Linked DNA regions of Oryctolagus cuniculus. The protein of the gene in region 1 purifies or fractionates together with the protein of each later gene. This does not show direct contact. Links are inferred from orthologs where the notes say so. Each region holds a gene or a part of one and is shown on either strand. Other genes may lie near its edges.

The links. The genes of interacting proteins can lie anywhere in the genome.
Region 2: the proteins of RPS6KA4 (region 1) and CSNK2B purify together in Homo sapiens (affinity purification with mass spectrometry; 3 studies listed by BioGRID and IntAct, with this or other methods). This does not show direct contact. The link is inferred for Oryctolagus cuniculus from reciprocal best matches to the Homo sapiens genes RPS6KA4 and CSNK2B.

What each region holds. Positions count from the first base shown.
Region 1 is NC_091432.1:6,979,141-6,984,810, forward strand, and holds the start of RPS6KA4 (ribosomal protein S6 kinase alpha-4), read right to left. Parts: upstream 3,782-5,670; 5' UTR 3,691-3,781; coding exon 3,642-3,690; intron 3,557-3,641; coding exon 3,485-3,556; intron 2,848-3,484; coding exon 2,629-2,847; intron 2,542-2,628; coding exon 2,426-2,541; intron 1,990-2,425; coding exon 1,882-1,989; intron 1,783-1,881; coding exon 1,702-1,782; intron 1,619-1,701; coding exon 1,515-1,618; intron 1,407-1,514; coding exon 1,256-1,406; intron 1-1,255. Other genes in the region: CCDC88B (coiled-coil domain-containing protein 88B), read right to left, coding at 5,421-5,670. UniProt on the Homo sapiens protein: Serine/threonine-protein kinase that is required for the mitogen or stress-induced phosphorylation of the transcription factors CREB1 and ATF1 and for the regulation of the transcription factor RELA, and that contributes to gene activation by histone phosphorylation and functions in the regulation of inflammatory genes.
Region 2 is NC_091436.1:138,947,093-138,951,165, reverse strand, and holds the start of CSNK2B (casein kinase II subunit beta), read left to right. Parts: upstream 1-1,273; 5' UTR 1,274-1,292; coding exon 1,293-1,364; intron 1,365-2,429; coding exon 2,430-2,532; intron 2,533-3,092; coding exon 3,093-3,208; intron 3,209-3,615; coding exon 3,616-3,691; intron 3,692-3,835; coding exon 3,836-4,025; intron 4,026-4,073. UniProt on the Homo sapiens protein: Regulatory subunit of casein kinase II/CK2.

The DNA of each region.
Region 1 (5,670 bases):
TGAAGTCCGACTTCTCCCCGGACTCTCCACTTACGGGAGCTAAACCCTGCCCTGTTGGGCTTTGGTAACGTGGGAGAGCTCGTTAGTACCCTGCTGCCCAGGACCCGGTTCCCTGCCCTCCCTAGTGTCACGGCCCCCATTTCACCCCAAGAACCAATACGCACGGCTAGAACTTCCTGGCAGCTACAAGTGACTGATGGCTTGTGGGTAAAACCGTCAGGTAGGACCTCAGGAAGGAGCTCCGGAAGGAGGCAGACGGTCGGCCAGCGCCCTGCCTGCCAATCTCCTTCTTCCTCCTGCCCCCTGCCTGCTGAGCAGCTTAGATGGCAAGAGCTCCCGCAGCCACTCTGGGCCTTGAGGCACCTCTGGGATGCAGGTCGGGATGGAAGGGATATTTAAGATATATGCAATATATCCACACTGGCTGGGTTCCTGGAGACGCCAGGCAGTAAAGACCTCTATGCTGTTGCCAAACTGTCTCAGAGTATTTATGTATTTAATTTGAAAAGCAGGCAGACTCCTCCCACCCCCTGGATGCCTGCGACAGCCGGAGCTGGGCCACACGGAAGCCAGGAGCTGGGAACCCGACCCGAGTCTCCCACATGAGTGGCAGGGACCCAGCTACTTGGAACATCCCACGGCTGCGTCCCGGGGTTCACATCGGCAGGAAGCTGGAATGGGGGGGGCAGAACTTGAACCCAGGTTTTCACCATTTCCAGTTAGATTTCTCTGTCCCCAGCAGCCAAGAGGCTGAGCTGGGCTCGAAGACCAGGACTCAGCCACCAGGGGCCTCCAGAGAGAAGGGGGCGGGAACGCTCCTCCCGGCACCCGCACAGCACCCGGCGTGGGGCGGGTGGGCTTGGGCCGTCCGCTGACGGAGCTGCCCGCTCCCCACCCCCACCAAAGGGACCCCTGCGCCCCTGAGACCTAGACCCCCCTCTGAGAGCACGTGGGAAGCCCCCTCCCAGGCCGGGCAGGCGGGGAGGACTCCCACGGGTGACACGTGGCGCCCGCAGCCAGGCCCCCGCTCCCGTGTCACAGAGGCCCGGCCTTGGATGCGACCGCCGCCACCTGGCGGGGGTGGGGGACCTCGGAAAACGCCTTCCCCTCTCTGAACCTCAGCTTCCCGGTTTCCAAGGAGACGGCGCAGAAGCCTTGGCGCAGGCACGCTGGCTTCCTCTGGGACAAGTTTCCAAAGCAAAGGGGACTGGGCCAGGCTCAGCGCACCCCTCCAGCGCCCCCCCCCCCGCCTCACCTGGAAGAAGGCGTGGCTCTTGACGTCCTGGGCCCCCTGGGGCCCCGCGCCCAGCCGCTTCCGGGGGTCCTTGCAGAGCAGCCTCTGCAGCAGGTCCTGTGCCACGGGCCCGATCCGGGGGGGGAAGGGAGGGGAGCACTTCAGGATCCGTCTGGGAGGATGGGGGTGCTGTCAGGGGCAGCGGGGGGCCCCCCTCCACGGCCCCGCCCAGGCAGGCCCTGCTGCCCCTCGGCCGCCCTCCGCGTCCGGCCCTCCTCACCGGGACACCTCGGCCTGCGTGTTCCTCTCGCCCTCCAGGGTGAAGGGCGAGGCCCCCGTGAGCAGCTCGAAGAGCAGGATGCCCAAGCTCCACCAGTCCACAGCCTGCGGGCCGGAGCGGTCAGGGCCCCGCGCGCGCGCCCCCGGCCCCGCGCCGCCCCGGCCCCGCGCCGCCCGCGCAGGCCCACCTTGCCGTGGCCCGCCTTGCCGCGGATGATCTCGGGGGCCATGTACTCGATGGTGCCGCAGAAGGAGAAGGTCCGCTCTTTCTGCGAGGGCGAGAGGACCCGCGTGGGCGCCGGGCTCGCTCCTCGCGCCCCCCCGCCCCCCCCCCGGGAGCGGCGGGCGGGCGGGGCGGGGGCGCGCACCTCCTCCGTGAGGAACTCCTTGCTCAGCCCGAAGTCCGTGAGCACCACGTGGCCGTCGGCGTCCAGCAGTACGTTCTCCAGCTTCAGGTCCCGGTAGATGATACCCAGCTGGCGGGGCCAAGACGGGCGCTGAGGCTTCCCCCAGCCCCCGAGCTCGGGACAAGCGGGGCCCGCCTCCTGCGCCCCCGGCGCCTCCTGCCTGCCGAGGGGGCCCCAGCGCGGGGCTGGGCCGCTGGCTGCCAAAGGCCAGTTAAGGCGCGCAGGCCCGGGTTCCAGGGAGAGGGGCCCGTGTGTGTGGAGAGGCGAGGGAGCCACAGCACAGGCCTGCGTTTGAGGAAGTTCCGGGGAGGTGGCCCCGGGTTCCCTGTGAGAGGAAAGCCCCTTCGAGGAGGCGCGCGTGGGGGGACGACACCCCAGCAGGCAGTACCAGGGGGCCTGGGGCGGGAGGGGGAAGCAGCTGCCCACCCGGCCCAGGCAGCCCGGAGAGACCGAGGCTGCTACTCGGGAGCCGCTTCGCCAGGCCCAGGGGCCAATGCCCGCCCACCTTGTGCAGGTGCTCCAGGGCCAGCACGATCTCGCCGCCGTACACGCGCACCTCGGCCTCCTTGAAGCACTGGCGCTGGTAGAGGTGGGTGAACATCTCGCCGCCGCTCACGTAGTCTGGGGCGACAGCGGTGGAGGTGAGGACGCGGCCGCCCCTGCCCCCCGCCCCGCCCCGCCCCCGCGCCGGCCCGCGCCGGTCCTCACCCAGGATGAGGTGCAGCTTGGCGTCGGTCTGGAAGGCGTAGTGCAGCGTGACCAGGAAGGGCGCCTGGCGCACCAGCTCCAGCACCGAGCGCTCCGTGCGCGTGTGCTCCTGCGTCTTGGCACGCTGCACCAGCGCCGCCTTTCGCAGCACCTTCATGGCGTACAGCTTCCCCGCGTCGTGCCCGCCTGCCTTCCGGACCAGGAACACCTTCCCGTAGGCTGCGAGAGACGAGGGCGAGGAAGAGGGGCTGTGAGTGGGAAGGCGGACGGGCGCAACCCAGGGTGGCGTGCAAACCTGGGGTGGTGTTGGGGAGGTGTGTGGGGGGAGCCAGGGGGAGAGGCAGGCGTGCAAAGAGCTGGAGGAGCAGGTGTGCACAGCCCAGGGGCGGCTCAGCAGGGGCCGTGAAGGGATGTGCAGCCCGGGGAGGGAGGAGTGGGGGCGGGGCGTGTGCCAACCTGCGAGAAAGCATTTGGGAAGGATGCGGGGAGGAGGCCCGGCTGCACGCCTGGCCAAGGGAGGGATGTGCAAAGCAGGCCTGGGGGAGTCTGCAAACGCGCAAGGGGGCTGTCACGTGGGGAGAAGGGGGGGCGCTGTGCAAGCCACTTGGGTGGGGTGCAAGCCCCCAGGACCTCCGAGCAGCCGCGGGAGGGGGCATGCATGCCCAGGACCCCACAGGAAGCGACGATGCCAACATGGAGCGCCCGGGAAGTGGGCACCCGACCCCGGGATGGCCGGTTGGAGCCGGGAAAGGGTGGGGGCCTTCCCAGAAGCCTGGCCCCAGAGCAGGCGGGTGTGCGGGCAGCAGGCCCCGGGACGCCGTGCCGGGACACCTGCCCGGTGCCCAGGGGCACTCACCTCCCGTGCCCAGCACCTTCAGCAGCTCGAAGTTCTCCACGCTCACCTTCTCCTCGTGCCCGGTCAGGTTGGCTGTGGGCACAGGGGCCGATGAGCCCAGCCCGCCCGAGACTCCTCCCAGCCCTCCCGCGCAGCCGGCGGCCGGCCCTGCACCCACCTTCCGTGATCCGCAGCTCCACGGCGCAGCCCTCGTCCTCGTCCCCCATGTCGGGCGGGGGACGAGTCGCTGGGGCCCCCCCGTGCGGCTCGGGGCTCCGGGCGGCGCCGGTTACATGGCGGCTCCGGCCGGGGCGGGCGCTTCCTGGTGCCGCCTCCGGGGCTGAGGCGGGCGCCGGCGCCGCCTCCCGGCTCCCCGCCTTGCCGCGGCCTGAGTCAGGCGGCTGGAACGTGACAGCGGCAGGCGGCGGCCAGAAAGGGTTGGCCCTGTCTCCCGAGCGGGGTGGCGGCGGGGGGCTGCGGGGATGGGCGTCAGAGCTCTGCACTCTGGGACCTCAATCAACCCTCCCAGGGACCTGGACACAGCCGGGAGTCCTGGCGGGGGCCCGTGGGTGACCTGGAGGCCCTGCTGGGTGAGCACAAGCCAGGTATGCGCCCCAGGACACCTGCTGCTGCCAGTGGTGGCAAGGACCTTGGGAGCCCGTGCCCCCGCGCCAGCCTTGCGGACAGCCGAGCATCCTCCTGGGACTTTCTGGAGCCCCTGCCAATCACACCACCCCGTCCCCTTCTTGTCCACAGCAAACAGGAGAGCGGAGTGGTGTGTCCGCTCGACAAATGAGCAGCCCAAGGCCGGCTGACAGCGGCCAGCGCCCGCCGCCGGCTCCTCAGCCCCACGCCTCACACTCAGCGGCCCCAGCTCTCCGTGCTGGCCAGGCTAGGAGGGTGCGGGATTCAGGCCGCACTGGCCAGGCTAGGAGGGTGCGGGATTCAGGCCGCGCTGGCCAGGCTAGGAGGGTGCTGGGATTCAGGCCTGCTTTGTGATCCTGGACCAGCTACATCTCCCCTGGGTTCCCGATCCAGCCTCTCTCCCCGCAGTGGCCTGGGCTCTGCAGGGAAGCTGGGGGCTCGGCCGCTCTGAGGCCAGGACCTGCTACGGCAAGGGGCCAGTACCAAGCCGGGACCCTGCGGCGGGGAGGGGCAGCCCCCGCCCCCATTCACAGCCCACCAGAGGCCATGCACACCTCCTTGTCTTGCAGTACCCACCCCAGATCCCCAAAAAGGGGCATCAGCGTGGTTCAGGGGAGTCCCCCTCCCCTGAGGCCCAGGGCCCTTGGCTGGCCTGTCCTCCAGGGGGGTGGGGGGTGAGAGGGGGCGGCAGCCGCCAGAGGCCCGGGGGCAGTTTTAGCTCCTCTGACAGCTGGGGGCAGGGGTGCACCGCCCCACACTGCCCTGCAAAGCCTCTGCGGAGAGGAAGAGGAAGCGGGGCTGCTGCAGGTCGCCCCGGGAAGGCTGGGCTGGCTGCCGCCCCGGGGCTCCGCACACCTCCAAGCTCAGGCCACCTCCTGTCGGCTCGGGCAGCCCCACCCTGCCCTGGGCGGCCCCAGGTACCCTGACTCACTTCCTGCTGCCCCACCTAATTGCCCCCCTTCCCAGGGCGGTAACCCCGGGGCCCTGCTCAGAGACTCCACCCACCCACCAGGCTACGAGCTCCCCGGGGCAGGGCTTGGCCCCACAGGGCTCTGGGAGAGAGGACGAGGAGGCTGGACAAAGGCAGGGAAGGGAGAGAAGCGGGTGTGAGGGTCGTGGTGGCCGCACCCGCTGTCCCCAGCTTGCCACCCCACTCCCCGCCCCTGGAGGCGCCCTCTGCAGCTGTGTCCTGGCCGGGCCAGGCCGCTGTGTCCCACTGTGTCCCCGGCACCTCGAGGCTCCAAGATGCAGCCAACAGACACGAGGCAGGACTCAGCTTTATTCTTATGCCCCACTGCGTCCCAGGGAAGGCTCAGAGGTCGGCCCAGGACACGGTCCCCAGGGAGTGGTGGGCCTTGGTGCCCCGCCCGGCCCGGGCAGGGGGCTCTCCTGCCCACTCCTTCCAGTCCCCTCGTGCTGAGGGATCCTCCGGAGACTGCCACCTCAGTGCAGGCCGCGAGCCATCCCCCCTGTCCACAGGCTCACCCCAGCTCCGTCCCGGGACCCCTACGCGGGCCGTGGCGGGCTGGAGAGCCCAGGCCTCCTTGTCCAAGTGCTCTCCT
Region 2 (4,073 bases), on another chromosome or scaffold:
GGCGCCGCCTCAGGTTAGCGCACCGGGCCGTCCTGGTTGTCAATAACGCTCAACTCAGGACAGACACACCCGACCCAGGTCCCTCAGCACGGAGCCCGTTCGTACCTCCCACCTCAGAAGGCCCGAGCTCAGGGTAAAACGTGGGGCTCTCCTGTGCAAGGCCGTGCCCGACTTGATAAGAACTAGGAGGGTTGGCCAGGGCTCACTGAGGGTCCCCGAGGGCAACGTCTGCGACCCGACTCGCCTCGCTTCTTCCCCCGCCCCCTCTTGGCCCCTCAGTCCAGTGAGCATACGACTCTATTTCCCAGGCTCCTGGCCCCGAACGCCTTACTTGGCTTCCGCTTCCGGTGGCGCCTCGCTGTGCCCCGCCCCCGAGCCGCGTCCTCGGGGGCCTCGCGACACGAGGGTCGTGAGTGAGCTGTCCTGGGATTCGTAGTTCGCTTTTCCCTCGCTTCGCCGGTCTCTCGCCCTAGCGGACTCCATCTCCCAGCGTCCACCGCGGCTCTCGCCCCTCGGCGCTTGCGCGTTGCCCTCTTCCCCACCCTCCCCGATTTCCACTCCCCCCACCCGACTTCGCCTGCCGCGGTCGGGTCCGCGGCCTTCGCTGTAGCGGTCGCCGTCGTTCTTTGGAAGCAGCTGTTCCCCTCCCCCACCCCGGTCCCGCTCCCCGTCCAGCTGGTGAGTGTGAAGTGGTTGCCCCGCGGAGTTCCCGGTCCCTAGGAGCGGCACATGGGGTCTCCCCGCCTTGAGGTGGGGGCGAGGAAGGAAGTGACCCGGTCCGTAACCGTGGGAGGGAAGGGTGGCCGGAGAGCGGGAGGCAGGCTGTGGGGACTCCGTGAAAGAGTACCTGGCGGTGCCCGCCCCTCGCCCCGGGTCGTGAGAAAAGGAGGTGTCGGTCGTTGCTTGGCAAAGATAAACTTCTAATTCTTGGGGAAGGGTGCCGGAGCCCTGCGGTGGTAGGGAGCCCGAGCCGAGGACTCTGCCAGAGTTGACACAGGCGAGAGGGGTCTGGCCATCGGGGGCGCGGGGGATGTAGGTAGGGACTGCTGGGTCGGTACTTGTGGGCTCCTGCCAAGGAATTTCTAAGTTCATTCAGAGAAAAGGGGCCGAGGTGTAAATAACAAGAGCTAGAGAAGCCTGTCCCAAAGGCTGGGATCCTTTAAAAAAAAAAAAAAAAAAAAGGGTGGCCCCAAATTCTTCCATGGCTGAAAGACAGAGTGTGGGAGGAGGGAAGGTGCCAGAGCCGGGGAGGGAGAGCTTGGACTTGACTCCTGTTTCCAGCTGACGTGAAGATGAGCAGCTCGGAGGAAGTGTCCTGGATTTCCTGGTTTTGTGGGCTCCGTGGCAATGAATTCTTCTGTGAAGTGAGTGCTTTTCGTTCTTCCTACTCGCTGGTTCCATGCGTTCAGGTTGGGTATCTTCAGCTTTTGCACACTTTATCCCGTGGAAACTCCTTCCCGTGAAAGAAGGGGTCCCCTCAGTAACCCCCCACTAATCAGCGGCGATGTGGCAAGACTGGGGCCCAAGTCCCATTTCTGTCACACACCCCACCGCACCCCCAGGAGGATAACATTGAACTAGTCAGACCATCTTTTTTTTTTCTTTTTCTTTTTTAATTTTTTTATTGTACTTAAAGTATCTGAAGGTAGAGCAACAGAGAAAGTGAAGGATCTTCTGTCTACTGGTTTATGTCCCAAATTTCTACAACAGCTACTGCTACCAGCCAGGCTGAAGTAAAGATCCCAAAACTTACCTGGGTTTCCCATGTGGGTGGCAGGGACTCAAGTACTTGTGCCATCACCCTGCTACCTTCCAGGGTGTGTGTTAGCAAGAAGCTGGAATTGGAAGTGGAGTTGGGACTTGAACCTGAGCATTCCAGTTTGGGATGTGGGTTATCTCTAACCATGTAGGAACCACCGTGCCAAGTGTCCTTTCTCCTTTGCTTTTTCATTACTAGAATGCTACTGGTAGTGCTTATCTCTGGGGGCTGTTAGGAGAATTGGAATACTGCACCTTAAAATGTTCTGTAACATGCAAAGCTCTGTGTTGACATAAGGAATTCTAACCACCTTCAGAAACCAAGCTGTTCAGCCTCCACCTTCCTCAGAGAGCAGCTGTTCCCTCAGGAGAGGACAGAACTGGTTCCTAGAGATGAGGAACAGGACTAGAGACGCGGGAGTCGAGTGTGTCTCTAAGGAGACTGCTGTGCTTGCTTGTCCTTGGAGGAGAGAAGCTGGAGCTTTCACGGGGGGGAGGGCGTGCGTGTGAACTCGGGACAGCGGCTGAAGTACTGACGCTGAGTTGGAGTAGGAAACAGGCAGACCAGACGCAGCCGTGTGGCCGACAAGGCGTTCGTTAGGTGACCTTGGCCAGCTCAGAAGCTGGGGGTCCCAGTAGGAGTTTTCCTCTTGACCTCCGTGTTCTACCAGGTGGATGAAGACTACATCCAGGACAAATTTAACCTTACCGGCCTCAATGAGCAGGTGCCTCACTATCGACAAGCTCTAGACATGATCTTGGACCTGGAACCTGGTGAGACACCCTCAAGGTTCATGGTGGGGGGGCTGTTTTTCTCTTCAAATTACCTCTTGAATTTACCTCTTGAATTTCTAAACTTCCTTTTGGTTCTCTGACACCCTTAACCTCAAAGTCCCAGCAGCATTTTTGCCCCCCTCCTTGAATTCTTGCCTAGTTTTGTGACTGATAGCACTTGCTGCCATACTTTCTGAATTTGTAGCTCAGCGCTCCTCCTTATGCGAGTTTCCTCGCGGGTCTTGTTTACTGCCTCTTTGCCTGCCTTGCACCCTCCAGTCTAGAGTTCCACCTTCTGTGTTGACATCTTTGTATTTACGTACTAAGGAAGGAGTTGGGAGGGAGAGAAGAGAGCAGAGGCTGAAGAGGTGTGGAGAGAAGGCTGGGCTTCCTTGGGTTGGTGGAAGGGGCAGAGACCCAGGTTAAATGCCCACGTGAGGACTGGGTGAAGCTCAAGGATGGGTGCTGGGCAAACTGGGCAGCCAACAGCCCTGGGGGTGGGCGGGGCACCTGGGAAAGCTGGAACGCCAGTGGTTGCATGTGGCTGGCCCATATTTCAGACGAAGAGCTGGAAGACAACCCCAACCAGAGCGACCTGATTGAGCAGGCGGCCGAGATGCTTTACGGATTGATCCATGCCCGCTACATCCTCACCAACCGAGGCATCGCCCAGATGGTGAGGCCTCTCTGCGCCTGCGTGACTCCTTGTGAGGCAGTAAGGGAAACAGGTTCCTACAGTGAGCAGTAATCTGGCAGCCCTGTCAAGGAGTCGAGCTGAGATGAGAAAAACCCAGAGTTTGGGCCGGGAAACTGAGTCCTCCCTGGACGTCCTGCTGAGGGGGTGTCTTCAGGGAGGGCGATGTGAGCTTGGTCAGAGTTGTGGACTGCTTCTTCCTCAGAGAACAGACGGCAAATGGCCCTGGATGTCATTAGCCTCCCTAACTGGGGGGAAAGTTGGTGGGCCCCTTTGATCTGCACAAGGACCTCCAAGAAGAGGGAGGAAATGTGGAGGACAGAGTTATGTGGGGGTCGCTGCTTATCCTCATACCCACCCACCAATCCCTTCCATTTTTTTCCCTTCAGTTGGAAAAGTACCAGCAGGGAGACTTTGGCTACTGTCCCCGTGTATACTGTGAGAACCAGCCAATGCTTCCTATCGGTGAGTATTGAAGAAGGGAGAGGGGGCACCATCTGGCAGTCCTCTGGGAAGGAGTTGGGCTCAGCAAGGCGGGAGCTGAGTTCTGGGGCAGGGGACTCGGCAGTGTCGCGGGTGCCTGGCCTGCTGAGTCTGGCTGTCTCCCAGGCCTGTCGGACATCCCAGGTGAGGCCATGGTGAAGCTCTACTGCCCCAAGTGCATGGACGTGTACACACCCAAGTCATCGAGGCACCATCACACGGATGGTGCCTACTTCGGCACTGGTTTCCCTCACATGCTCTTCATGGTGCATCCCGAGTACCGGCCCAAGCGACCCGCCAACCAGTTTGTGCCCAGGTGGGGAGCAGACAGAGTCACCATGTGTCAAAGGAAAGACTCAGAATC